Linked DNA regions of Oryzias latipes. The protein of the gene in region 2 interacts with the protein of the main gene of each other region in a pairwise test. Links are inferred from orthologs where the notes say so. Each region holds a gene or a part of one and is shown on either strand. Other genes may lie near its edges. The genes, in order: mtmr9, lnx1, memo1, hsbp1, fhl3, cep72 and blvra.

The links.
Region 1: the proteins of lnx1 (region 2) and mtmr9 interact in binary tests that used the Homo sapiens proteins (3 or more experiments, as listed by UniProt). The link is inferred for Oryzias latipes from reciprocal best matches to the Homo sapiens genes LNX1 and MTMR9.
Region 3: the proteins of lnx1 (region 2) and memo1 interact in binary tests that used the Homo sapiens proteins (3 or more experiments, as listed by UniProt). The two-hybrid records come from large-scale screens. The link is inferred for Oryzias latipes from reciprocal best matches to the Homo sapiens genes LNX1 and MEMO1.
Region 4: the proteins of lnx1 (region 2) and hsbp1 interact in binary tests that used the Homo sapiens proteins (3 or more experiments, as listed by UniProt). The link is inferred for Oryzias latipes from reciprocal best matches to the Homo sapiens genes LNX1 and HSBP1.
Region 5: the proteins of lnx1 (region 2) and fhl3 interact in a two-hybrid assay, tested with the Homo sapiens proteins (2 studies listed by BioGRID and IntAct). The link is inferred for Oryzias latipes from reciprocal best matches to the Homo sapiens genes LNX1 and FHL3.
Region 6: the proteins of lnx1 (region 2) and cep72 interact in binary tests that used the Homo sapiens proteins (3 or more experiments, as listed by UniProt). The link is inferred for Oryzias latipes from reciprocal best matches to the Homo sapiens genes LNX1 and CEP72.
Region 7: the proteins of lnx1 (region 2) and blvra interact in a two-hybrid assay, tested with the Homo sapiens proteins (3 studies listed by BioGRID and IntAct). The link is inferred for Oryzias latipes from reciprocal best matches to the Homo sapiens genes LNX1 and BLVRA.

The regions. Positions count from the first base shown.
Region 1 is NC_019882.2:13,972,578-13,974,727, reverse strand, and holds part of mtmr9 (myotubularin-related protein 9), read left to right. Parts: coding exon 1-72; intron 73-170; coding exon 171-391; intron 392-504; coding exon 505-656; intron 657-2,150. UniProt on the Homo sapiens protein: Acts as an adapter for myotubularin-related phosphatases. Increases lipid phosphatase MTMR6 catalytic activity, specifically towards phosphatidylinositol 3,5-bisphosphate and MTMR6 binding affinity for phosphorylated phosphatidylinositols.
Region 2 is NC_019862.2:726,583-730,082, reverse strand, and holds part of lnx1 (E3 ubiquitin-protein ligase LNX), read right to left. Parts: intron 2,606-3,500; 5' UTR 2,555-2,605; coding exon 2,100-2,554; intron 1-2,099.
Region 3 is NC_019873.2:27,908,076-27,912,249, reverse strand, and holds the start of memo1 (protein MEMO1), read left to right. Parts: upstream 1-1,374; 5' UTR 1,375-1,793; coding exon 1,794-1,854; intron 1,855-3,857; coding exon 3,858-3,939; intron 3,940-4,011; coding exon 4,012-4,080; intron 4,081-4,174. UniProt on the Homo sapiens protein: May control cell migration by relaying extracellular chemotactic signals to the microtubule cytoskeleton. Mediator of ERBB2 signaling.
Region 4 is NC_019864.2:28,979,185-28,983,249, reverse strand, and holds hsbp1 (heat shock factor-binding protein 1), read left to right. Parts: upstream 1-1,265; 5' UTR 1,266-1,382; coding exon 1,383-1,427; intron 1,428-2,102; coding exon 2,103-2,169; intron 2,170-2,305; coding exon 2,306-2,430; 3' UTR 2,431-2,432; intron 2,433-2,515; 3' UTR 2,516-3,384; coding exon of another isoform or gene 3,385-3,487; 3' UTR 3,488-3,941; downstream 3,942-4,065. Other genes in the region: DNA topoisomerase I, mitochondrial, read right to left, coding at 3,385-3,487. UniProt on the Homo sapiens protein: Negative regulator of the heat shock response. Negatively affects HSF1 DNA-binding activity. May have a role in the suppression of the activation of the stress response during the aging process.
Region 5 is NC_019874.2:23,737,279-23,741,506, reverse strand, and holds the start of fhl3 (four and a half LIM domains protein 3), read left to right. Parts: upstream 1-1,428; 5' UTR 1,429-1,716; intron 1,717-4,228. UniProt on the Homo sapiens protein: Recruited by SOX15 to FOXK1 promoters where it acts as a transcriptional coactivator of FOXK1.
Region 6 is NC_019874.2:16,684,699-16,688,919, reverse strand, and holds the start of cep72 (centrosomal protein of 72 kDa), read left to right. Parts: upstream 1-1,421; 5' UTR 1,422-1,513; coding exon 1,514-1,589; intron 1,590-1,739; coding exon 1,740-1,867; intron 1,868-2,047; coding exon 2,048-2,240; intron 2,241-2,322; coding exon 2,323-2,431; intron 2,432-2,759; coding exon 2,760-2,911; intron 2,912-2,988; coding exon 2,989-3,047; intron 3,048-3,129; coding exon 3,130-3,172; intron 3,173-3,534; coding exon 3,535-3,735; intron 3,736-3,990; coding exon 3,991-4,172; intron 4,173-4,221. Other genes in the region: uncharacterized protein LOC101162471, read right to left, coding at 66-599, 829-912. UniProt on the Homo sapiens protein: Involved in the recruitment of key centrosomal proteins to the centrosome.
Region 7 is NC_019875.2:5,296,403-5,300,624, reverse strand, and holds the start of blvra (biliverdin reductase A), read left to right. Parts: upstream 1-1,422; 5' UTR 1,423-1,497; coding exon 1,498-1,523; intron 1,524-1,545; exon of another isoform or gene 1,546-1,702; intron 1,703-3,880; exon of another isoform or gene 3,881-4,222. Other genes in the region: cytochrome c oxidase assembly factor 1 homolog, read right to left, coding at 597-748, 954-1,047. UniProt on the Homo sapiens protein: Reduces the gamma-methene bridge of the open tetrapyrrole, biliverdin IXalpha, to bilirubin with the concomitant oxidation of a NADH or NADPH cofactor. Does not reduce bilirubin IXbeta.

The DNA.
Region 1 (2,150 bases), on a different chromosome or scaffold from region 2:
CAGATTATTCTTGATCCGAGCTGCAGGACCATCAAAGGCTTCCAAAGACTGGTGGAGCGGGAGTGGATCCAGGTTTGAACTTTAAACGTCTCTGAAAGTACAGGACAGAAAGTGATCATTTTTGCAAATTCCATTTTTAGCATTCGTCTTTTTGATTGCATCTCTCCCAGGCAGGTCACCCGTTCCAGCAGCGCTGTGCTCAGTCTGCGTACTCCAACAGCAAGCCTCGCCACGAGGCCCCCGTCTTCCTGCTCTTCCTGGACTGCGTGTGGCAGATCCTCCGACAGTTTCCCTGCTCCTTCGAGTTCAATGAGAGCTTCCTAGTGCTTCTGTTTGAACATGCCTACGCCTCTCAGTTCGGTACTTTTCTCTGCAACTGTGCAGCCGAGAGGTAAGATGGATAAAACTGATGGTAAATTTCATTATGTCTCCTTGATCTGAGCTTTACTTTTGGTGGAAGGATCTGAAGTAAATGACATTTGGTTTTTGTCCCCTTTTTATCAGAGCTAGGCTCTTTCTGCCTGAGAAGACTGTATCTCTTTGGTCGTGGATGAATCGGCCTCAGGAGCTGGAGCACCTGACCAACCCCCTCTATGAAGCCAACAGTCTTGTAATCTGGCCGTCAGTGGCCCCGCAGAGCCTTCTGCTGTGGGAGGGTAAGCTGCACTCCAAAAAAATGCAAAAAATGTCTTGCGTCCAATTTTGAGTTTTATTTCCAAAATTGACGCCACAAAACATTTCTTTTACAATATATTGACTCAACCATACTTGCTTTTATTCTAATATGGGTCTCAAATATATCTGATGTAAACACGATCATTTGGTTGATATGAGTTTATGCAAATGTCGCCCAAAAAAATCTGTTTTTTTGCCTTTAAAACGGCTTTAATCTTTACGTTTTCAGGTTAACTAAAATCAGCCTTAACTGACATGTAACACTTTACATCGATGCTTGGCTGAAGGTGTCCTTAATATCACTAAAAATACAAATTCACAGTAATATTTACACAAACACTTTTTCTAATTTATGTCGTTTTTCCCGTTTTCTTTCTTTTCTGGCTCCCTAAAATCTTACCAGAAGGGGGCGCCTTTATTTCAGTAAATTAAAGGCTTGAAAGTCTTTCTAAGCTGTCTTGGATGAAAACACTTTAATTTTTCTGTATTAACATTGGTTTTTGGTTGCAAAATGTGGCAAATATACCTTTTTTTCTCTTCACTATACAAAATAAGGCATCAAATGGTGCTTTACAATGTTTTACATAAATCAGTTTGAAGCGTCACTTTTTGTAAAGACAAAATTCATTTTCAAAAATATATTGCTGCAGAACTTAGGTATTTTTGCTGTTTTATTCTCAGGCACCAAGAATAAAGTCAATTTTTGTTTGATTTGTACAAATTTAGACCAAAAATGAATGAGAAGTTTCACCTGGACTATTTGTTTTTTTATTTTATTTTGCACGATGGCTTTTGGAATCCCATCAGCCTTCCTGCTCCCTATGTGGTCAGTGCTGTAGGTGTGTCCTCAGTGAAAGTTGACACTGAACACAGTATAACATTTTACAACCTGTCCTCCGTCAGTGACCATATGCAGGCTAATCTTAGACCTGTAGCACATTCTTACACTTGGCTGGTAAAACCCTTGAGGTCAATGTTTCAGAAAGATTATGTCAAGAAAGTTTTGCTAAAAATTTCATTTGAAAAAATGTGAAATTGTTCAATTTGAATGGCTTAGATAAAGCCACAAAATAAAATGTGATCAAACTAGTGATGCCAATGAAGTCTCTAATATATTTTTGTTTATTTTTTGTTTGTTTTTTGGGGTTTTAAAGTTCAAAAATGTTTTTTTTTTTTTTTTATTAGACATTGACAGAGAGAAGTTGGGCTTGAGAAGAGCTGTGTGCATTTAGAGGTGAATGGGTCCAAGCTTTCTTTGTTGGGAGTCTCATGCCCAGCACTTTATCCTGACCCCTAAATTCTAAATGAAGCTGACATCTGAGAATCGCCACGGCGCGTGAGCTCGCGCTGATGAGGCACTCACTTGAAAATGACTATTTACCTCCAAAGGCCCCGTGGAGGATCAGGTCTCCAGTGGCTGATGGGAACTGATAGTGTGTGGTGAATCTGTGAAATCCCACAATCTGTGTCCTGGA
Region 2 (3,500 bases):
ATGGAAATGTTGAAATGGTTTTTTCAGTGAGACTTTTCCACATCCATGCACAGAGTGCAGGCGTCTTTGAGGACATGGCCCATCACCTCCACATATAACACTCTCTTAGTACAGGAGAGCAGCCCGATCCTTGTGGGACCCAGCCTCTGAGATCCACAACCCTTGTAGTGAAAACCTACAGGGGCAGAGGTGGAAAGGGGGGACAGTATCAATTGCTAAGATCAGAAATATACTTTCTAAGAGTGATACTGAAAAGCTCATCCATGCATTTGTTACGTCTGGACTGGATTACTGTAACTCCTTGTTAGCAGCATGTCCTAAGAGTTTTGGTTATCTGAAGACAAAATTTTACGTTGGCTTTTTGAAAATGAAATTTGTTTGGCAAATTTTGTGTCAAGGGCATGGACAATAAGAATGGACACTTTGTATTCTGATAGACTCTGATTAGGGGGGTTATTGGATTTTTGTGATGAGCATGTATCTTTGTGTATTATGTATTTTGTCTTTCAGTGTCATATAAGCCTGTGTGGGCTGGGCACATTAGTGCATGACACTTAAATAAATCAAATCAATCAATCAAAAAAAATAAACAATCCTTAAGAAGTCTCCAGCTTGTTCAGAACGCAGCAGCTAGATTGTTAGCTGGAACTAGCAGAAGAGATCACATCACTCCTGTGTTAGTTTCACTCCATTGGCTCCCAGTTGATTCCAGAATCAAGTTCAAGATCCTCCTGTTAACCTATAAGGCCTTACATGGAATGGCCCCGTCCTATATTAAGGACCTCATAGTCCCTTACCATCCAATGAGAACACTTCGCTCACTAAATGCAGGACTGCTTGTGGTTCCTAGAATTAGTAAAAGTACGGTTGGAGGTAGAGCGTTTAGCCACCAAGCCCCTGTCTTATGGAATAAACTCCCAGCTCATGGAAGAGAGGCCGACTCAGTTTCTACATTCAAAGTTAGACTTAAAACATTCCTCTTTGGACAGGATTATTATCGGACAATAGGCTGCTAGAAGTTGAAGCTGGGGTAACTATGGTGCATTGGGGTTCTGCCCTCTTTTCTCATCTACTTCTACCCTTCCTCTCTTCTCCATTCTTGATCATTATTCATCATTTAGTTCTCCATGCCTCTGTTTGGTGCAGTGCGATTCATGTATTGTCCCTCTTTCCCTCTCCCCTCCTGGGGAGTGGGAGTGCTTCCAGATTCCAGGTGGCTCATCCGTGCTCCTGTTCCTGACCGTGTACCTCGTCTCTGCTCCTGCTTCTACACCTGGCTGTGGATCCTGCCTCTGGCTCGCCCCTGACTGTCCCCCCAACTCCATCTGTATGAAGCTTGTCTGCTGGACTTTAAATGTGTAGTTATAGAGCTAGATAAGTTAATTCTTCTTTATGAGTTCTGGTAAATCACCTGTCCGTCCTGGGAGAGGATCCCTCCTTCATGTGGGCGCCCTTGAGGTTTCTTCGTTTTTTCCGGAATCCGTTTTTTTTAGGAGTTTTTCCTTACTGCGAATGGGGGTCAGTTTAGCTTAGTCAGTTGGTTAGTTCAATTTAGTATTTTCCTATTGAACTCTATGTATTTATGATCCTTTTGAGTTTATGTTTCACTTTTTCAATTACCGATACGAAGCCCATTGAGACGACTGTTTTTGTGAATTTCGGCTATACAAATAAAATTGAATTGAATTGAATTGAATGAGAGAAAACGTCTCTTTTTTTGTGCTAAAGGAGATTTAGGAAGCTGGTGTTTTGATGTTCAACCCCGGCGCTTGTGTGTTTGGTGAGATGTGTGGATTATCCCAACAGTGTTTGGGCTGGAAGAGTGCTGCTGAGTATTAATGAAAGCAGAGAAACCCCAGCTCTGTGTTTTATTGCCATACAGGCAGGACAGTTTGGTCTGCCTAGTTAAGAGCCTGGTGGGAGGAGCGACAGTCCTCATTGGGATTGGAGCTGCGGGTTGATGATGATGCGTAGAGAAGGCTGGGAAACTCAAAGTGAATGCTTACTGTCAGTCATTATTAACTTGATAAGAATCAAAGAGCAGAAGAAAAGCTTGCTTGGGTTTTCTGGTGGTGGTTTACCTGCCTACACCAACCTACCTGTTTTTGATGTGGTCTTCCAGTTGTCCTCGGGCCAATTTTTCAGTGCAATGCTCTGTGAAAGGGCAGGTTATCATCAGCTTGTCCAGCAGCTTGTGCACCAGCAGGCTGGGCTTCCTGCAGCTCTGCAGCATGAGGGGGTCACGGCACACAGGGCAGAAATCGCTTTCCAGCAGGAAGCTGGTCAGGCACTCCTGGCAGTAGGTGTGTCCACAGGGCGTGTCCAGAGGCCGGATGAGCGGCTGCAGGCAGATCTGGCAGACAAGATCGTCATCCACCTCGTCCTGATACAAGTACTCATGGTTCTCCTCCAGCTTGTGACTGTGGCCACATGATGCACATAAATCAGGAGGCGGAGATAACAGTCCAAGGTTAGATGGGTAGAGAGGCTCAGCGGATGCCTCAACCATTGCGGTGGCGCCCACCGGCTGAGTGCTCTCCTCTGGTATGCTCATTGTAGGCCAGATTCAGGATAAACCTTGTAAAGAATTCATCTGCAGAGAGAGCTGGGACAAACAGAAAAACAAACAGTGTAAGACAACAACAAGATGTGCATGTTTCTGCTGGCACTCAAAAGGCCCCTTCAATGAATAAGTTAGTAAAATATTTTAGGATATTTATACATGTGTGCTCTGCTGTTTTGGGAAAAGTAAACAAGAATATGCAAACTTTCAAATTTTTGTTTTCTCCAATTAGAAAGAAGCTGTTGGTCAATGATTTATTAAGTTTAGTTTCACTCAGCAGAATAAATGCTAAACTTTCTAATACCTTCCCAGCCGTTAACAACAAAAAAGGAATTGCAAGAAAACAATGTTCACACATGAAGATTATTTTTTAACAACATTCCTTAATAAGAAATTTAAACATTGCAATAACAAAAACATAGTGGCAAAAGGTTTCAAACAAATGGGAAAGACATTTGGGAGATTTATTTTAGCAATGATTGTTGTTTTTGCACATCAAAATGATACTATGGGGACATTTTTGTTATATATATATACACACACACACACACACACACACACACACACACACATATATATATATATATATATATATATATATATATATATATATATATATATATATATATATATATATATATATATATATATATATATATATACAGTCAGGACCATAAATATTTTGACAGAGACACATTTTGACAGAGAGAATTTTAAATAAAACAACTCAGATGTCATTAAAGTGCAGACTTTCAGCTTTTATTCCATGGGTTGAACAAAAAGGTTGCATAAAAATGTGAAAAACTAAAGCATTTTTAACACAATCCCTTCATTTCAGGGGCTTGTAAGTAATTGGACAATTGACTTCCATGCTATTGCATGGGCAAGTGAGGGCAATTCCCTTATGTCATTATGAGTGAAGCAGATAAAAGGCCTG
Region 3 (4,174 bases), on a different chromosome or scaffold from region 2:
CAAACGCAGTTGGTTTGCGCTAACAGGGCCGCATCTAACCCAAAAGCTCAACTTTACACGGTACTGTTTGTTTTTGTAACTCGAATCCGGTAACAACAAAACCGAAACATCGCTAGCTTCCGCCTGTCTGGGAGAAAGCTCCGCCCCCTCGTTCTGAGAAGTGTTTTCAAGGCACTGCCGCTGACCACACCGCCCCCTGCTGGAGCGGCGTAAGATTGCAGCAACTTTATTCTCTTTTTAACTATTTGATTGATAACACACAAATTCCCTTCTAGAAATCCTAGAATTTTTGGAAATGTCAAAATGTCATTTTTGAAGTTCAAGGCGACTTTAAATATAAACACCCTACAGCCAATATACAACCAAAAAAAGATACGGAATATTGCCGGTTTAATTTTAACTCCATTGAAAGACAACAAATAAAACTATTTGACAATCATTAAATTTATTTGATCAAATATTTATTTTGTGTACTGCAAAAATTATTGCAATTAAGTCCATTTATAATTAAGGGAATTTAACCTGTTAAGAAGATGGCATCATTTTCTTTCATCTTTGTTAATATTTTTCATTTTCCAATCAATGTATGACTTTATATCTGAAACAGGTTGGACATGTTTTGTGATTTTTATTATCTTATACCTTTAATTTTAATGCTCATAATAAACCAATAAAATTGAATTTAACAATTTTTTTTATTATATTTGACAAGTATTGCTATAAAAATGTTTGAATTAACATTACACTAAAACATTTCTGTTCAGGGTCTGAAAAAATGTTGAACAACCTCCAAATAAAAGTAAGAATAAAAATGTTAAAGACAGCTTAGATGAAGTAGAGCTTTAATAGTCTGTATTTTAAGTTACAGATAGGGAAGAAAAGTTAATTGATTTAAAGAGTATGTGGGGAAAAAAGCAGTTAAAGGCAAAATTAAATAATACGTAATTTGAATAATGTGAACATTTTCTTTCTAAAAGTAAAGAAACTTATTGTTGTAGTTTTTTTGTTTAACAAAAAAAACATCATGGTAGATATAAATTCAGTGTTGTTTTTTATCTTTTAAATGTTTTTGTAATGATCAAAAAGTGAGTAATATTTTTTTTATTAAAACATATGTAATAAGTACAAATTTGTAATGAGTAGTGTTTTTTGTCTAAGAAATCTGTAATGAAAAAAATGTTTCTGTAATAAATAAATAAAATGTGATAGATAAATTATTTTTTAATAAATAAAATTAATATATATGTATATTTAAATATTGTAATAAATATAAATGTATTTTTCTTCTCGTTCAAGAAATTGTATGGCAACCCTCCCGGGACTGGCTCCGCCTCCTGCAGTGAAACCACCAATCAAAACGCAGGACGTCACTTTGATTACAGTTTTCTTTTACCTGGTTCTTCACAGCGTTCAGTAATCTTCTGATTCTGGCAGTGACAACAGTCTAGCTTTAATACATTTGGTCCGTGTTGGTCTGGGTTGGACAACAATCTATTTTTGATTTATATCTTTTCATATTTGCTGATAAAAACAGCGAGACAGTTAAGTTGTTGACCTAACCTAAAAAACCGGCATCTAAACGGGCCGGCTGCCAGTACATTAAGCTCGTTAGCTAGCAAGCTACACTGCCTTACAGTGAAACTGCCCTTTGTCTTTTTAGTAGGCAAGTTAGCTAGCAGGAGCGTTTTTGCCCTCTCTGGGACAACTGAGCAGAACGTATCGGTTTAGTTTTATTATTTTTATTTTCTTATAAACATCTTCAGCGAACCAAGATAGGCAGCTTGGGAACCAAGATGTCGAATCGAGTGGTGTGCAGAGAAGCAAGTCACGCCGGGAGCTGGTACTCCGCTTCGGGTAACTGTCAAAACAGCACGGTCCGCGTTAGCATAATGCTATCTGATCATCATGTACATTTCTTTCCTTGACACGATTTGTGAAGCATTAATATTGTCGCTTTTATGGCTTTCCCAGTCTACAACATTTACGAATTAATAGGTGATCTAGAGCAAAGATGACAATAGTCCGCAGTGTGGTGAACACTAATCCATGATCCAGCAGATGGTTTTTAAAAAAAAAGTCGCCCGGTTAGCATTTATCCGACAATCTTCACCTCAATTCTCCCAAAATATTCGCTAACTGAATCCATGTCGCTAGGTGAACTCTAAGGCTGACATGTCACTATAAAAACGAACGTAATTCTCGATTAGAAGACCTTTAGTTAGCTAGCTATGAAGCTAAAACCTTCCTGGCCTAGCATGCTAACAGTTTTGCTACACCAAAAAAACCGTCCACAGAGCTTGCTAAACGACTTTTATTCACTCCACTGGAGTAGTTTTGAGTTTATTCCACTCCAGTTGTTTTGTGTAAAAGTTCATGTTCTTGCAAAGCAAAACACTTGACACTGACAAAAACCAAAACAAAACTAAAATATGATTGTTTTGGTTGTTGCTGCTTCATCCCTTCCCCCATTTTTTGAAGCCCTGTTTTTTACCCCTCATGTCAGCCCATTTCCTTTTCCAAAAACCAGTTTGCTGCTCCGTCAAAGACGAAGCACAACAGTTTATTGCGACTTAAAAAAAAACATCTTATTGTAAGCGCATGCTTCAAATCAAACTTTATTTATAAAGCACTTTCAGACAGAGGCAACACAAAATGCTTCACATAATAAAAGCCTTTTTCCAACTTAAAGACCCGCTCCGATGAAAATCATTTTTTATTGTTACGTGTTCTTGTGATCTTTTTTAAATGATAGAGGACATATAAGTAGAAAATCAAGCTCGAAATTGCATTTCTGATTGTTTTATTTCTTCAAATCATTATATGAATCAGGATCAGGCCAAAAAATGTCGTTTGAAAAACAAAATATTTGTGACAAAGTACTCTGGGCGAGACACTGCTTCCCTTTTGTTGGACCGGTAATGTTAGGTCATGTGCGTGAGGGGCTGCTAGCTAGCGGGAGAACGTGTAAACAGAGAGCTCTCAGCAATGGGGATGGGAGGTCCTCCACGGCAACGGTCCCGCCCACAAATCAGAGGCGAATTTCTAATGAACTCCTACCGCTGTGAAAACAACACAGGATGTTGGGTAAAAACGCCATAATCCTAATTAATAGACCACTGGGAACACTTTGAAAATGATGATCGGAGTGGGACTGTAAATATATAAATCACGTTAAAATGAAAAGCGTGGTTAAATTGTCACACAGCATAACTGTAGTCACGACTGAATACCTGTTATTTGACTACATGCGTATGTTATTGACATGACCCAACAATTATTAACATCAGTAAATATTATTTTAGTGCAGTTACTTTTTTACATACAAAAGAGAAGTAGTTTACATCTAATTTACTGAACGAGAATGCAAAATTCTAATTCATTGTGTTATGATTAGTTATTGATTTGGAGGGATCTTTTGTCTGCGGAATATAATGATTAAATTGTATATATAAATGGATTAATAGCTTTTTATTAATGGTTTCAACTATGGATCCAACTATTTACTTCCCCCTTGATTTGGTTCAATCTTTGATTTTTTTTTTTTTTTAGTCACAGTTTTGTTTTGGTTCAAAATATGATTTGATTTTACAAAAAATCTAAAAAAAAAAAAAAAATTTGTTGCGGTTCAAGTCACAATCAGGAAAACCTTTCACTTGGCTTATGCTAAGCCTTGTGTGATGTAATAAAACAATAATTCTTCTTAAGTCTAGCACAACTCTATACTTTGGATGTAAACGTACTGGTATTCAGTCGTTAATCAGAAATGCATTGTATTTTCTCGTTTACCCTCAACAATTACTACTTATTCTAGAGACCGTAAATAATGAATTTGCATGCTTGTTGTTAAATGTTTGCAGGATCCCAGCTGAATGCACAGTTAGAAGGCTGGCTGTCCCAAGCGCAGTCGACCATCAGACCCGCCAGAGCCATCATAGCGCCGTAAGAGCATCATAAAACGCTCTCGACTTCCTTCTATGTTTTCATTCTATACTGACACGTGTTTGTCTGCAGTCATGCTGGCTACACCTACTGTGGTGCTTGTGCAGCACATGCCTACAAGCAGGTTGATCCCTCTATTACGTAAGTGGCGTAGCTTTGTGCACCAATTCTTCATCTTTCCGTGTTTTTGCAGACTCCATTGCATTCGTCCTCCACGGAGCATGTGCTCATGTAG
Region 4 (4,065 bases), on a different chromosome or scaffold from region 2:
ACACCGATAGTTGAGTTACACAGATGACCTGCCTGCTTTCAAAACACCCTTAAAGCTTTAGCTCCATACAGCGTACCCAGGGACTTTCTCCCTTGTGTTGTGCCTACAAAAGCATGAGGTGCGCATGCCAAGAAAATACAGGGAGGTTACAAAGGAGGTGGGAACATTTTTTTAAAGTATAACTTGACAAAGATTTCATTCAGAAAATCGTGCCAAACTCAGCTAAGACGTCACCACTGCTGTAACTTAAGCAGCGCTTAATTTTGAAAAGACAAGAACAGCAGCAAGACATTAAACACCAAACCTCAGCATTATGGCAGGAGTTTGAAGAGCAAAAGTCACGTCTAAGTTACATATAAAGCTCAGTAATTGTTTGCTTCTGATAAAAAAAGTTACAGGTTATAATCAGTTAGACTAGGCACAAGCCTGGAGGAAGTTAAAACCCGTTCTAAGGGAACCTTTGCACAATTTATTCAGTACTGTGAGGCTTCTGCTATTTCCTTTTGTTTATGTGTTGAAAGTAAACACTAACAATGGAAGCTGAAATGTACCGAAGCTTCTTAAAAGAGGAAACTCAATGTTATGTAAGCGGAGCATATTTTCACGGGGTAGGGCCAGCAGTGCCTGCTTCTTCATGTCACTCAGGACTTCCACACACATCCATGCCGGAGCTGCTGCTCCTTTGGGACAAACTCAATACAGCTGCAGTCTCGTTAAAAAAAATAAAACTTCAAGAATGATGCATAAAAACCACGTGGTAAGCCTGAGTTTAAAGCAACCGTGAAGTTTCAGCCTATTGCACGCGTGCGTAAATCTGAACTTTACGCAAACAGCCGCATTTCTGATGCACAACAGCACCGTCAGTTTTCTGCTTTACTCACCGATCGCCTTCAGTCCAACAGAACTTTGCCGTCTCCCGCAGTGAATTCGGCGTGAAAACCCGCCGAGTTATCCCGCAGCTCCAACTTTCAAATCCCAACTCGCTGAGGAGGAGGAGAGACGTGTGCGCGCATCCCCACACACACACGGCTGCGCATAAACACACACAGGTCTAGAATTTCCGCTTCAATCTTACAGCTTCATGTTTTTCTTTTCATCTAAACATAAGAACGTCAACTGATTTTTCAAATGTGTTATTATTTTATAAATATACATACAACCTAATGTTTGTCGTCAATCCACAGCATTATTTGTATCGAAGGGTTCTGCAAATTCACCGATCTCAGCCCATGAGCAAATCTCGCGAGACTTGCCGTGTTGTGGCACAGCTGACTCTCCCGTGGGTGGTACAGGCGAGCAGAACCTTGAGGCTAAATAATCGAATATAAAGCGCCTTAAATTTAACCGCCGTGAAGGTCCGGACATACAGTTTTATTCACACCATGGCTGAAACAGATCCCAAATCAGTGCAGGACCTTACTAACGTGGTGAGTTTGGACCGTCAAGCTAGCTAGGACTAGCTATATGGATGTAGCTAGCAATGCTAACTATACTGCTAACAAATCAAATGCAGGTTGCATCTAAAGGAGTATTAAGTTTGATTCCTTTTTGCCTTTTCCCCCTTTGTTTTACCACTTGACACCTAAATTCTGATCGATCTCACTAAATATTTATTAGTTTATCACCATATAAAAGACATTGTTAGCTGATTAGCACTTCATCCTGACTAATTTAATTTACATAAATCTTCTTTAATCAGCATTTTCAATAACAAGTATATGAATTTACATTTTTATTGTAATAATAATAATCAGCAGTTCTCGCAACACCCAGGTTACTTCTGTTGGTGTGGATACCAATAGTGTTGCCATGGAAATGAACCAAAACTAAAGGTCTAAGTTGCACCTCTACCTACTAAATCACAGACTGTATTCGATTCTTCTGAAACATTAGGTGTTGATTAGTGTGTTGACTGGAAGATGAAGGTCTTAGCTCCTTTTTAGTGGTTTTTCTCTCACATGCAGCTATGTCCAGAGTGGGGTATGTGAGGAGGGGACTGAGAGGGCGGGAAGCGCTTTTGGGCCGCTCACAGCTTGATCTTGTACTGTTTCTTGTTGGGTTTGACAGATTAAAGTTTGTGGCCTTCTTTTGTTTTTCTAAAGGTCCAGACGCTCCTGCAGCAAATGCAAGACAAGTTCCAGACAATGTCAGACCAGATCATCGGGAGGAATATCCTTTTTTGAAAGCCAGAGCTCTGATGGTCGTCTTTACATTTCTCATACTCTACATCAAATGTCCCGGTGTCTTTTTCTACAGGACTCCAGTTTGCTTAGAAAAAAAAAAGATTTGCCTTAACAGTGTCCACTTGATGAGATGAGCACACGAATCGATGACCTGGAGAAAAACATTGCTGACCTGATGACCCAGGCTGGTGTGGAGGAGGCCGAGGCGACACCAGAGAAGCCGAAGGAGAGCCAAGGATCATCATGAAGGTGAAGAAAAACGGTCTACCCCTGTAGAATTTCTTTGTTCTGGTAGATTTCCTAATCAGCTTTATTTTCTGTCTGTCCCACAGGGTCAGAAATGATGTGAAGTCAAAGTTCTTTACCGATGACTTCTGATTTGGTGTGAAATGCTTTTTTTAAATATATATATATATAAAATGGTTTAACGGTTTACAGTTATGTCATGATGTGAGAAGTGGAGTAGTAGTAATCTGAATTAGTGTGACCTGCCCTTCAGAATTGTGTATTTGGTGCCCTGACCTGGACGTTCGAGCCGCCAGCGTCGGTTCTTCTCTCCGGTCCGTGCTTGGTAACGGGCCAGCAGAACCTCATCCCAACACGATGAACCGCGAACACCCGGAGCTCGCAGCGCAGCACTGTTGGCAACGAGATGCAGAATGCATTCCATTTCTGATTTTCTATTAAAGCGATGTACGGAGCAGTTTCTCCTTTTTGACCAGGTGCTGATAAATAGACCACGGTGCTAAGAGTTTCTACATTTTCTCTTATGAGGCAGAGTCGTCTGATGCCACAGACCTTTCATAACTACTGAATTCATCCGATCTGCAGGTTCAATGCTCTTTGTTGTTCATGAATTTGTTGGATTCTGACGTGAAATGAGCAGAATTGGAAATGTGCCACTTAACGAGTGTATAACTAAGATTTTGCCAAATTGAATGATTAAAACATCCCTTATTTTACCGCATGGTAGGAACCTTTATTCAAGTGTATGCAAACAAAATGTAACAGACCGTCTTCAAACCAAAAGTAGCAGTAAACATCCATTAAAGTGCAGCTTGATTATTGAACTGCAGTAGTAGAACCTCAGCACTTCATAAACATCCCCTCAATACAATATTCATTTACTCTACATGGGATAAAGCAAAAGGTCCCTGAGCTGCCACTTGGTGTGAGTTTATACGTCTGTGGAAGTTCAGTTTCAGAACTCGAAGTCGTCCTCCGTCATGTCGATGGCCCAGGCGAACTTTTCCCGTTGGGTTTTGTTGTAGATTTTTTCTATAGGCACCTCCATGTTCTTACACCTGATTAAAAACAAGAACAGAAAAGCGTTCAACCACAAACAACTGAGTATTACAACTGCAGAAGAAAAGTCTTAAACATACAATGGGGTGAAGAGAAACCTTGAGTTTATCGTCCTGAACGTTTTTCAAGCCAAACTTCACCAAATCGTTGCAGAAGAAGCATTTCTCATCTCTGGTTTAGCACCAAACCCCACTTTCCTTTGGTACAAGCAGCATTTCTATGAATTCTGAAGTCTTGGAACAATTGGCTGATCTCTATAGAAATCAGGTCGGTCACATGGTGAAACGTCAGATCAGTAAACTGGAGGATCTGTTGTCTGAATGAGATCAAGTGACCACAGATCCTAAGAGCCCAGAATCAAAGTTAACGGATGGAATCTGGACATTTCAACACTGCAGCCTAAACCAGAAACTTAACAAAATGTGTTCTTTACAATAAAAATCTATTAAAACATTTCTGTTTTTGGGTGTGTGTACGAGCTGGATTCGCAGTAAAATAAGGGTTTGAGTGACGGGGCTGTTCTGCCCACTCAGACGTTTCTGAGGATCGCTGACGACCATCAGACCGAGCTGGAGGT
Region 5 (4,228 bases), on a different chromosome or scaffold from region 2:
TGCATGGTAGCTCTGACACCATCTGTGTGCATGGGTGAATGGGATTTGCCATTGTAAAGTGCTATGGGACATAACGAATATATCTATTTATGCTATTTACTTCTCCTGCGGCAAGCAAAATGTAAAGGTAAAATTAAAAAGCTGGTGGGCAATGCTTGTGAATTTCAGTCTCTTTTTGTTTAGTTTGTTCTTGCATCAGTCCTCTAATTCATAATCTCTGTTTTTTGATTGAAGACCTAAAAATTGTTATAAAAAAAGAGCTAGATTAACTTGATGTTAGTAAAGATTTAGATAAATAATTTCTATAAATAACGTAGTACATATGTCAATAATGTAGAACTAAAGGGGTTGTGTATTAATGCAACAACTACTGAACCAAATAGATTGTAATTGATTTGTGATTAAATACGAATCAATTAAATGTTGCTTTATTTCATCAATTTATTTCCAAAACCAGTTTTGATTAAGAAAACATGTCTTTTAAAACAAACAAAAGTGGTAGCCCACTTTTATTTAAAAAAGGAGTCTTACATCAACAGTAAAGAGAAAGCGTTTTTTGTCTTTTTTGTCTTAAAAAAGAGAGAAAATATCTTAAAAGGAAAGGCAATGCATGAGTTTGAATAGTTAATTCCATTTTCTTTGTAAAATGTCATTAAATTCTATTAAAAAAATCTAAATTAATAATGATTCGTGTTTTTAATGATTAACACTGAAGTAAAGAGCATTCACTTTGTCAGAGCATAGGTCAGCTTAATCCTGAATAAGTCGACTTATTCGTTTGTCTTAACACAAATGAATCATTTGAACTTAAAACACTGTAAAAAAAAGAGGAATGTAATTTAACAATTAGATCAATCTTTAACCCTTCGTGGTCATTTTTGGAAGGATTGTTTATGTCCCTCCCTTTCAAAACAACAACCATAATAATAATACATATAATCCTGTGATGTAATTTCATTGATGGTTTTGCTATTTTTAAAGAAATCCTTCAGAAGCCTCCAGCACCTGTGGTCCACACACTCAAACATCTCATGACATGCAGGCTTCACATATTCTGCTCTAAACTCAAAACAAACAAAATTCTATTATAACCCACTGCAATGCAATGTTGAAGAGACAAAAGAGCCTTGCAAGAATCTCCCCTCTTGCCTGCATGGGCCTTTTCCACTCTTGTTTGAAGTCGCTGGAAAGAGGGAGGGAGGAATGCCTTTTTTGGGGGGGCGGGATCTTGTGACTCACCAGCAACTTCCTCAGTAGTAGGACAAAAGTAGCCGGCAAGCTGCACCCCTCTGTGCTGCAGAGTTTTCATGCTTTGCTTCCACTTTCGGCTTCTCCCATCAGGGGTCGCCACAGCGAACAAGTCGCATGGTAAATTTGGCAATGTTTTACGCCGGATGCCCTTCCTGACGCAACCTTCTCAAACCGGGCTTGGAACCGGCAGAGGTAGAGAAGGGAACAGGGAGCAGACCGGAGTCGAACCCGGGTTTCACGAATGGAAGGCGCCGCAAACCAGCACGAGCTAATGACAAGCAGATAAAACAGAACGTTTCAGAGCCGGAGAGCGACACTCCTGAGCTTTTTCTGTGAGCTGATCCCTGTGCTGACCTGAGCGGCCGTGTGCTGACCTGAGCGGCCGTGTGCTGACGGGAGGAAGGCGGCTGGATCACCACCACAGCAGCTTGGAAAGGTGCCTCCACACTTCAATCAGTCTGACTGGTAAGAAGAGACATTTTGGCTCCATCATTTTCATTGAGTAACCTGTTGATCCTAAATCAAACACAGGTGTGTATGAATATATAAGATAATCTGGGTTCTTTCAAGTCCATTACTTAGTCCTTTATGACTGAATGAAAGTATAGTTGGGGGGGAAAGGGTTTTGAGAGTAGGCTCAACCAAATATCTACAATTCCTGAAGTAGAAGTATCTGGTTGCGTGTTTAGACATTGTCTAAATTTGCTGTTGCTGTCTTTAACTTTTTCCCTTCCCTCTCATTCAGTAATTCAGTTGTGTCCCTCTGTACACTCGTAGAGTGTACAAGGCGGAGGAAATATAAATAACATCCTTCCGATGAAGAAACAGACCATATTAGCTTGTGTGACCCTCTGAACTGTGCATATGAAGGATTCAGGAGCAACTGTTTTGTCAGAGAAGTTCAAGCTGAGCTCCAAGTGAAGCCTTCACAGGACTAAGTCCCACAGGCGAAACTTGCCTCTTTTTTTCTGCAAAAGGGGAAAGTGGCAAATAGCAGTAAGAGTGTGCAATGGGTGTGTCTATGCTGTAGCGTCTGGAGTCGTGCAGCACCTCATGGTACGTGTCATTGTGATGACAGTTTGGCTCACCTGCTGGGTCATGTGGGTGCAGTGGGAGGGTGAGGTGGTCAGCCTTGACTGTAAAAAGTTTAACAGTCTGTATAACAGATAGAGGAAGAGATTGTTTTAAATCGATGCCTTTGGTTCACAAAAAGCTCTTCCTTAAGCTCTGATTGAATATAGTCTGCTGAAACAGGCAGCAAAGAAAGAACTGGGGGTTGTTCTGACATCGGTTGCAAGAGAATCCCAGAATTTTTGGGAGATTAAAAGGTCTTTCACAAACAACTTAATCTTGATTTCCAGACAGAGAAAAATTGCATTGATTCTTCATGATCTTGACCCAACTAACAAACTGCAGCATGAATAAAAAGAAATAATGTCAATGTCCTCCTCTTAAACATAAGCAATCCTTTTTCTGCAGTATAGAACATACATTTTAATCTGCTGGTTTGTCTCCAGCGTGGTAGACAAAAAGAAAATCTCCTGATCCAACTGTGAGTAGATGCAAGAGAAGATACAGCTGCAGCCTGGACATAGAAGTCAACATGGTGCTGTAGTATGCCTCTTCTAAAAGTTTTTGGTCTGAGGAGTGCTGGGGTGCTCTTGCCACCTACAGGTTTTTTTCTTACATGGTCAGTAAGGATAACCAGCAGAGGAAACACCCTTTAACTACATGTCTCTTATTCGGTTCCATTTAGCATCTGGGAAGTTTGCCTTGACAGAGCATACAGAGCTGCATAATGTCATTGTTTGCTTTTTTCCTCCCACCGCCTCCATTTCTTTGACCATGGTCACATTCTTCAGAGGTCCCAGTGTTTTCCAAAGGTTAGCTCTGCGTGGTTTTTGGACTCTGGCCAGTTCCAAAACTGCAGCAGGACTGCAACCAAATAATTTGAACTGGTTTTAGCAGCCTTTATGTGTTGGCACCATTTGAAACCTGGCCAATGGTAATGATGGAGGAGTTGGCGGTCAAGTGTTTGCAGGTGGTTTTTGAGAGCAGAATTGGAATTTGCGTTGATGTAGTCCTCTTGTGACATTGTGCAGCTGTGTGTTCCTCCATTGGCACAATTTGTGCTCGTGTAATTGCTCAGTGCCTTAAAATCCCACGTGTGGGTGTCTGATCAACAGTCCTACATCACAGAGTTTCGTTTGTCTTCAACTTCTACATAGTTTTACTCTCCACCTTCACTCAAAATGTGAAGTACAACCCAATAATCAGGTGCCTGTTTGAAAAGCTTACTTATTGAGGTCTCAGTAATAATTAGTTATAATTTTGGTGGCACTGTCTATTATCAGTACCTGCTTATCCTTGTGGAGTGTCAAAAGTTCAGGGCAAAGGCGGGATGCGGCCCGATAATTCCATCACAAGGCTTTGGTGAAGTTAAATAAGTCCGTAATGTATTAGGTTTTGGTTCTAATCTTTTTGGGGTTTTTTCTGTAAAAAAATGATTAAAGGTGCTATAACATATAAAGCTTTGAAAATCACAATAAAGATATTTTGGAATTTAAAAAAAAAAGGTGCTATGACAATAAAACCATAATGCAGTGCCCTGGATTGAACCTCCTCAAACAGCTATGAGAACAATAATATTGGTTTTGTCATTTTGTGTGTATATATATATATATATATACATATATATATATATATATATATATATGTGTGTGTATGAAAGTGTAGCACTGGAACTTCAGCATGTTTAAATTGGTTGTTATGGTAGTCAGTTCCCTCCTTGGTAGGATGTGGGGGCGCGTGGCTGGCTGTTGTAGTGTGTCTGCATTCCCTTAAAAAGGGGGGAAGTGACCTCAGATTTCCTGTGAGGGGATTGCCAGGTGCTGTAGTGTTATTGTGAGGGTCGCAAGGCTTCCTCCGTGGATGCTTTGTTGGTAAATGTCTGAAACTCTATCCCCTGAGCCAGGGC
Region 6 (4,221 bases), on a different chromosome or scaffold from region 2:
ATAAATGTTAGACATTTTTCCTGTTAAGTTCTTAGCTCTGTGCAAAAACATGGAGTTTCTCCGGTTCAAATGTTAAATCGATCACTAATGTCCAACAGAAACTGTCCCAGAGCTCGTGTGGACGCCCAGCAGCCCACTGACAGCAAAGCGTTTAAAAGCCACTTCACGAGTCCTTCTGTCGCAGCTGGAGACACAAGTGGAGCAGCAACAGTGGTTTCTACCTGCTGCTCCATGAGTAATGGCAAACTGAGGGCTACACCTCCTACAGCACCCAAAACATTACCAGCAAACAGACACACCATCAGGCAGCAGGACAGAGACGACAGACCCAGGCAGCGAGTCAACACAGTTAGAGTTTCAGCCGACAGCCAGTCTGAGAGTCCCAGTAGCAGACAGGAGCCAATCAGGAGGGTCCATGCGGTGCCGTGATCCTCGCTGAGCCACAGGAATTCAAAAGCAACCAGCACTGGTGCCAGCACCTCCCCAGCCCAAGTGGCTTGCTTTTTGAGAGAGGCCAGGTGTGAGCTTGAAGGCAGGAGGACCCAAAGCGTGGCAGAGAGACCAAGCAGGAAGAGGCCTATTGAGGGGCCCCTGTGATCCTGCAGAACATGAGATTATAGTCTGTTTAATATATTGAGAATTTGTGACCATACTCTTAAAGGGAAAACATAAACACACTGATGTTGACGAAGGCAAGCATAATCAATTTTATAAAAGATTACTTTTTAGTAGCTGGTGTATTATAAAAAAAAGCCTCATCTTTATTGAAGTATACTCTGTTTATCAAAAAGCATTCTACAAGTTTTAAATATAAAATAAGAGACGAACCTTGAAGAGTTTGCGTGAAAAGTATAAAGCTGTGGTGGACAGAATGATGTTACTACAACATGCCATCCACTCTGTTGACGCCATTCAGGAAAGCGCGCCGGAACACAAACCTGCAAACACACCGGAACTAAAGTGACAATATTTTTACTTAAAGTTCAAATGAAACTACTGACGCTGCCCCTTTTTATAACTGGACTGAACAGAAAGACTAAACTTTGGGGCAAGGAGGAGCAGAACAATGTTTGTGTTCACACGTGACAGAATGTCTTCAGAGCACTGCGCATGCTCCAAAGGAGGCGTTCAAAGTCCCTTGTAAATTCTGAGACGTTGTCAACCATATTAATAATGATCAAACTAGCAAAGATCGGTTAACACTTTTTGTTAAACGTTATTTATTCTTGTTTTATTGGAAATATAATTCTTTGTTTAAAAAAAACATTTTAGGTTCTGTCGAGTAAACGAGTAAATCGTTATTTTTAGGTCGCTGTTAACTACTAAAAAGTTACCATTTTAAAGAGGGTTTTGTGTTAGTGTGTGACATACTCATGCGACAGAGTATTTAACTGAATTTTTTCCTCATAAATTTAAAACTTTACTCCGTTGCACACTGACTGTGTTATTTTTGTTTCTTTCATTGAAGTCGTTTTTTCACGACAGCACTTGAAGGCAGCAAAGTTTGAAAAGTATGGCGACGGAGTGTCTAACAACAATCTCAGAGCAATGGATACGCGACAGATTACAACTAAAACATCCGTGTCTCGGTAAGAGTTTCATTCACCTGTGCATTGGAAAAACAAAAACCCCGCGTAAAACATTTTTTCTGTCTGACTGAAAGCAGATTAGCTATTCAAAGCTATTTTATGATGAACCGTCATCTTTTGGTCATTCATTGTTGTGTGTTTGATGCGCAGGTGATGTCCGGTCACTGAGCCTCCCAGGAACGTTAGAGGAGAAGATTGGACATCTAGGGAACGCTCTGAATAACTTCATTCGCCTGAAGTCTCTGGATCTTTCCTACAACGCCCTGGTTTCTGTGGAGGTTTGATATTTTTAATTTTTCTTATATTAAGAAAATACTTTATACTATAAAAAAAAGTCTCTTCAGAATTTATATTAAACTGATTTCAAATCACAGTCATTTTTTTTATTTTATTTCATGTGACTATTATTTCCATTGTTGGATGAATGCTTACAAATCTGGTTCCTGTTCTTTCTTTAGGGGCTGCAGCATTTAAAAAAACTGGAGAGGTTGATTCTTTATCATAACTGCATACCATCTCTTGAAGAGGTGAAAACTCTGTTCCAGCTTCCTGTTTTAAGAGAGCTGGACCTCAGGCTCAACCCTCTCACCAAAAACTGCCCACACTACTGGGCTTATATCGTGCACGCCTTGCCCAGCTTGCGAAAGCTTGGTAAGCTGGAGTCATCTGGGCCTGTTTTTGTGACTGTTTTCTGTCAAGTTCCCGACATCGTAATGAGCTTTTGGGTTTGCAGACAGCTGCTCGGTCAGAGAGACGGAACGCAAAGTTGCCATCATGCAGTTCTCCTCTGATCTTCCTCCTCAGCAGAAGAGATGCTCTCTGAATCTGGCTGAAGATCAAAGGTACGCCGAGCACAAAATCAGTTTAATGCACAAAACCTTCTTAATGCAGGCTTTAAACACCAATCTGGTCTAAATTCAGAAACTGTATGGAGCTCAGATGATGGAAATCCAGCGGTATATTATAAAGCTGCAATACACACACTTTTATCTCAAGGTTTTTTTCATCTTGTTTCATCCTTTTGTAATAAATCTATTCGTTAATTTCCATCAAACCTGCTTTCTTAAACTAGCTTGTTATTGAAGCCTGGAAGCATCAAATATGTGGTTTTTAATGTATATTTCAACCTTTTAATTAGTTATTTCTCTGTTCTGTGCCTGTTGCTGTCAGAAGCAGCAGGTTTCGTCTGGCTTTGGTCGACCGTTTGACCAAGAGGCTGTCACTCTCAGCAGAAAGTCAGGATATTGTGTTAAACAGAGTCGAGGCTGACCTTGGAGACCAATCTAAAAGAGTCAGCGACTCCGTTTACAGGAAAGGAGAAGGTAAGGACCCTTAAAGGTAATTTTTAATCACACCAAACCTGCTGACGTTCTTTCTTCACGTTGAAACCTTATTCTAGAACCCAAGGAGGAAATATTACAAAATTTCACAGAGAAGAAGAGTTCAACTCCAAAACAGGTGACTTTCTTTTTCTCCATGTCTGATTAAAAAAAAATAGTCACCCTATGCTTGCATGAATGACGGCACCCTTTGCTTGTAGGAATCTACTAAATCCATCCTCAGATATTCACCCAATATCAATGGTAAGTGTGTTTTTGGGTATTTATTTAATGATTTAATTATCTGTGTGTATATCAGAGCACTAGTAAGCAGATGGATTGCAGCAGTTGCTAAAGCAGCTAAAATGTATTTAAGTTGGTCTGAATAAGAGATTTTGTAAACCAATTCATAATGCATCATATTTTTCCCTAACATTTAAGGAAACAGTTCATGGCAATAAAAAGAGATTTTTGGTGGTGTTTGCCTCATTGTTGACTAACTATAATATTTTCAATTGTTTAAGCAGAAACATAAATGTCCACCAGGGAGAGCTAGATGTCAACTCCATAAAAATGTCTGACACTAAAAGATGAAAACATATTTGTGCCTTTCTGTGAATTTACAGATGTTGTTGTATCCAGAGGGCTACAGATGAAGGAGACACCTCCAATGAAAAACTCTACCTCATCTAAAGTAGCTGAAAGGCCTAAAGTGTCCTTCGGTCCTTTTGTAGAGAAACACAGTGCAGACAGAGGACTTCCAAACCAGAAGCTGTCCTTTAAACAAATCAGACACGAAGCTAAGGGCCATTTTACTCCAAACCCTGGTTATATATATATATATATATATATATATATATATATATATATATATATATATATATATATATATATATATATATATATATATATATATATATATATATATATATATATATATATATATATATATATATATATATATATATATATATATATATTTATTTATATTGTGTATTTAACAACTGCTATTTATTGTGGAATTTTGCCAAAGTTCACATTCCTCACTTCCTTGGAACTCTGAATGTACATGACTTTTTCAGATCAAAGCCAGTGTCGTAGCACCTCATTGATCAACATCCGTCCTGCCAGTCCACTGCAACCCGGTTTGACTCTGTCTGAGTCCTCTAACCCCATCTTACACCCTGCAAGACTCACCTACTCTAGCATCAACACGGCAGACGGGAGCAGCAGCCTGAAACAACAAGCTGGAAGGAAAAAAAGGGTTAACATTCAGTTCAGCTCTCCGACTGATTTATACTCTAAATCATAAA
Region 7 (4,222 bases), on a different chromosome or scaffold from region 2:
TTGTGGAAATCAAACAATGTTGACTGTTCCCTTTCTATATTTTAACTTACCAAAATAAAAGCACTATGAATTTGCTTTGGTAAATGGAACTTATACATGAGACGCAATTGCAGCGCTTAACATTGTGATCATTTAATAAACTGAATTTGACCATTTTATTGCAGTGGATGACATATTGAAATTCAGGTTGAGTTTTTTCAAAGCCATATTTAAAGAAAAAAAGAAAATATGTTTTGGTAAAATTTTGGGATACGTATCGTATCGCCAGACTCTTGCCAATACACAGCCCTAATTTGAGGTGGGACAGGTTTCAGACCTAGATTTGACAAGTAACAACTAGAATTCTGCTGCTTTTCCTGTTCTGGAGGATGTCACACAACTAAACTGTGTGTTTAAACTGGATTTATTCTGCCTTCTGTTATGTCGGCATAAGCAGGCTGCATACAAATGCACAGAATTAATTTGTGAATATTTTTTTCTGCCTAATACTTTGTTAGCAAAAATAATCCTATTTTTCATCTTCCTGTGATAATGGAGAAACTGGTCAGTTTACTCATCATCACACAGCGGCTGGACACCCCCCTGACAGACTGTACCTGGGCTGCCTGATGGTCCACACGGTTGTATCTGTCAGTCAGATGGATGTTATGAACTCGTAAGGGCGGGGCTCCAAGGCTCTCCATGGCAACAGGACACGCCTTCAGCTGTCGCACAGCGAGTTGATGGTATTCACTCCCAGCAAAGTTTTCTGACGAGATAGCAGAAAAGAGAGCATGCGCACGTACGTGTGCATGAGTCACAGAGACATGAAGGGGCTGCAGCAGAGAGACAGACCAAGACATTTGCGGGTTCCACTCCTAAACCAGAGCCACTTTCAGACCGTAAAGCGGAACCAGGAGTTTCTGTTTTGAACAGACTATTGCTTCAACGCGTGCACGCACACATGCACTCACTCTGCATCAGGTAGTACATGGTGCCAACGCCCCCACCCGTCAGGACGGTAGTGAAGATGGTGAGCCTCTGCAGATGGTGGATGGGGACCCTCATGGTGCAGCTCTTCCTGCACAAAAAAGCAAAGACAGATGAAACGGAGCCACGATGGCGGCTGAGCTGCAGACACCAACCTGAGAGACATGATGGAGGGAAAATCATCAGAGGATGCTGCCAGAAAAATGACTTATAGAGAGGAACTCTCTAGGTCTACAGCTCTGGAGTCCTGTCCTGGTTTCTAATTTGTTGAAACTTTATTTAAACAGGAACAGTGTACACAAATCCCAGAGAAAACAGGAACATTGTTCTGATGTTTTTTTTTTCTCCTGCAGGAGGAAACATTTCCAAAAATCCGAAAATAAAGATAAAGCATTCACTGTTGAAAATATTGGGATGTAAAAAAATGCTTCTAAAAAAAAAATCACCGACTACGAGGCACCGACTGGGCGGGGCCCTTTTACGTCATCGGGAATGTCCTGTCAGCTGGTCGAAATGGCCTCTCCATGAATGCTGTGGCGGACAAATGCGCTCAGGTGAGTTCAGTGTCACTCTTACCTGAACACATGCGGCTCTACCGGCGCGTGCTCTTCCCTGACCCCTCCCCCTCGTTTGCGCGGTTCTCCGTGAGCGTGCGCCGCTCTGCTGCAGGTTAGATCCGGAATCCGTCCGTAACACGTGTTCACGTGGGTTTAAATAGGGACGGTGGCCTTTGTCTTCTTTCTTCTATGCTTATCGGGGGTTTGTGCCGCACAAAGGCTGTTTACTGCCCCCTGCTGGACTCTGGACGCGCTGCACTAGATGAAATATAGAGGAAAATGGAACAGTCTTCTTTACAATTCAGTTTTTCCTGGACATGCAGGATAACTTCATACTGCTAATAAAAGCTGGCTTTCTTTCTTCGGTCTATATTCTGCACCATTTTAATGGAAATAAACGGGTTTTATCACCACTCTAATCAAAGTGTTTGACTGCGATCCGGGTAACCTTTGAGCACCTGTGGTTTACTAAATGTACATCATGTTTACGTGTTTGCGTGGACAAGAATGCCGCCCCATACACAGCACGGATATGGAACATTTTTCATTGTTCAGGCTGTTGTGTTGTTGTTGCTTCGAAACCTTTGAGAAGCTGCTGAAAAGAGGAAAAGTAGCTTATGCACAGAGCTGCACCAGACTGCATGTGCAGGAGACAACACCACCATGCAGACAGGGATGTCAGTGTTTCAGACTTTGCTAAGAAAAGTGGTAGGAGTTGTGTCTTAGAGTTAAATACATGTCCTCGAATGGATGGAAGAGCGGGACTACTGAAGTTGGATAAGCTCCATCGGGGAGGCCGTTAGCAAAGAGAGATGATTTTTAGAGAGAATACATTACGGAGAAACATTTAAATGAAGCACACCTGTTAACAGATACATATTAATAAAAACAGGATGATGCTTCTAGATATATTTGGACAGGACTGGTGATCTCTGACATCACCCATAGGGCTCTGAGGGCAAAAAACCCACGAGGAATACTAACCTCTCAACCGTCTCTTCGACTGCTGTTTTGGGAGTGAAAGCAGTCATTGTTGGTTCAATTCCCAGCTCTTCCAGTAATGTAGTATTGAAGTGATGTTGGGCAGAACACTACAGTAAATCTGTGAGTTAGGTTTAGTTTTTCCAACTGCATTTTTCCATCTGCTCGTGATTCAATTATTTGGAAAAAGCCACTTTAATCTTTATATATGTTCATTCAGAATGTTCTAAAAGAACATGTTAACACCCAAAATACAATTCTCATCGGAGTGGGTTTTAACAATAACCACTGTCCTAAAAGTTTATTTTTCATTCTCATGTATGAGAAAATACACGTGAATTGGGGGGGGGGGGGGGGGGGGGATTCGGACCCATGGCCTTGTTTTGGTTTAATAATGGTTCCATTTAAGCAGTGTGATGCTGCTTCCTGTGGACTAGGGGGTATGAATCTTCGGACACACAAGGTGTATATTTACATAAACCCATTTTGGATTAGAGGCTAAACTTCATCTATTCTCTTTATGTTTGTATACATTTTTTGTTGGACTGGACAGAAAAGAAGAGGAGAGAAGAAGAAAGTGGGATGTTAGAGAGGGGTGGGTTAAGGGTACTAAAGAGAGGGGAGGAAAAGGGGGGTAAAGGAAGTTGGAGGATTACAGAAGTGGGGGGGGGGGGGGGTAGAATTACAAAGCAAGAAAATGCTAGAAATTTAGCCTCATCACTTTTCAGGTGCAGATGTTAGTCAAAAGGGGCGGGGCCTGTCCACACACTCAAATAATACAAGCATACCTGTTGGCTCCCAAAAAACACAAACATGTCAACACGTACGTCCTCAACATGTACACAATACAGCTACAGCTCACACGCACATACTTATGCATACAAACCGACACATGCAAAGCATTTCCTTCTGTCACGCATACTATTTGTGCAAAGGTGAGCTGACACCTGGCCCCCCGACACCCTCGCTGGAAAGCACATGGAGGAAATCCACCCCTGATTTTATTTATTTATTTTTACAGTTACATAGTCATTATTCATTGTACGTGGGGGTCATGGGACAGACACGTAAATTACAGTGCTTTCAGTTGGCTCATTAAAAATTAAAGTTTCAATGAAGACCAAATGGTTGTTTTTGAACCTGAAACAGACCGACGTGTTCACATGCTCTGTTAGCAGAGCTGCCCTGTTTTTTTTTTAGAATTATGAGAGACTAAAGAGTCTTTCTCAAAGAACAGACGGAGCTGGGGAGGCCAGGTTCCTGCGTGCTCAGCTCTTGAGAGACAGAGCATCCTAACTCAGTCTCATCCCAAAACGAGGAGCATCTGCACAGGAGCCTCCTTATGTAAGAGGCAGTCCGCCCCCTAGCGGCGGACTCTGTCACTGCACCAGTGAAGATCGCGCGCGGGTCACGTCGGTACATCCGTACCGGCCGGCGTGCACGCGCCGAGCACCTCAGGCTGTGGGTTCACGCGCTCCTGAGGTGACTGCCAAGGAAGCAAGCGCGTGCGTGAGTTGTTTCTTTTTGGACATCCCCCCTCCCCTTCTTTCAACTTCCGGTTGTCACCAATTACTTAAGAGGTTACATCACGCGGGCGCGCGACACCAGGGTGGCAGTTAAAGGCGTTTTCGGCTTCAGCTGCATCAAAGCCAAGCCGAGCCGAACCGAGCAGCTGCTGCCGTGCACGTGCGCACGCTTCCCAAGTTCCAGGCTGT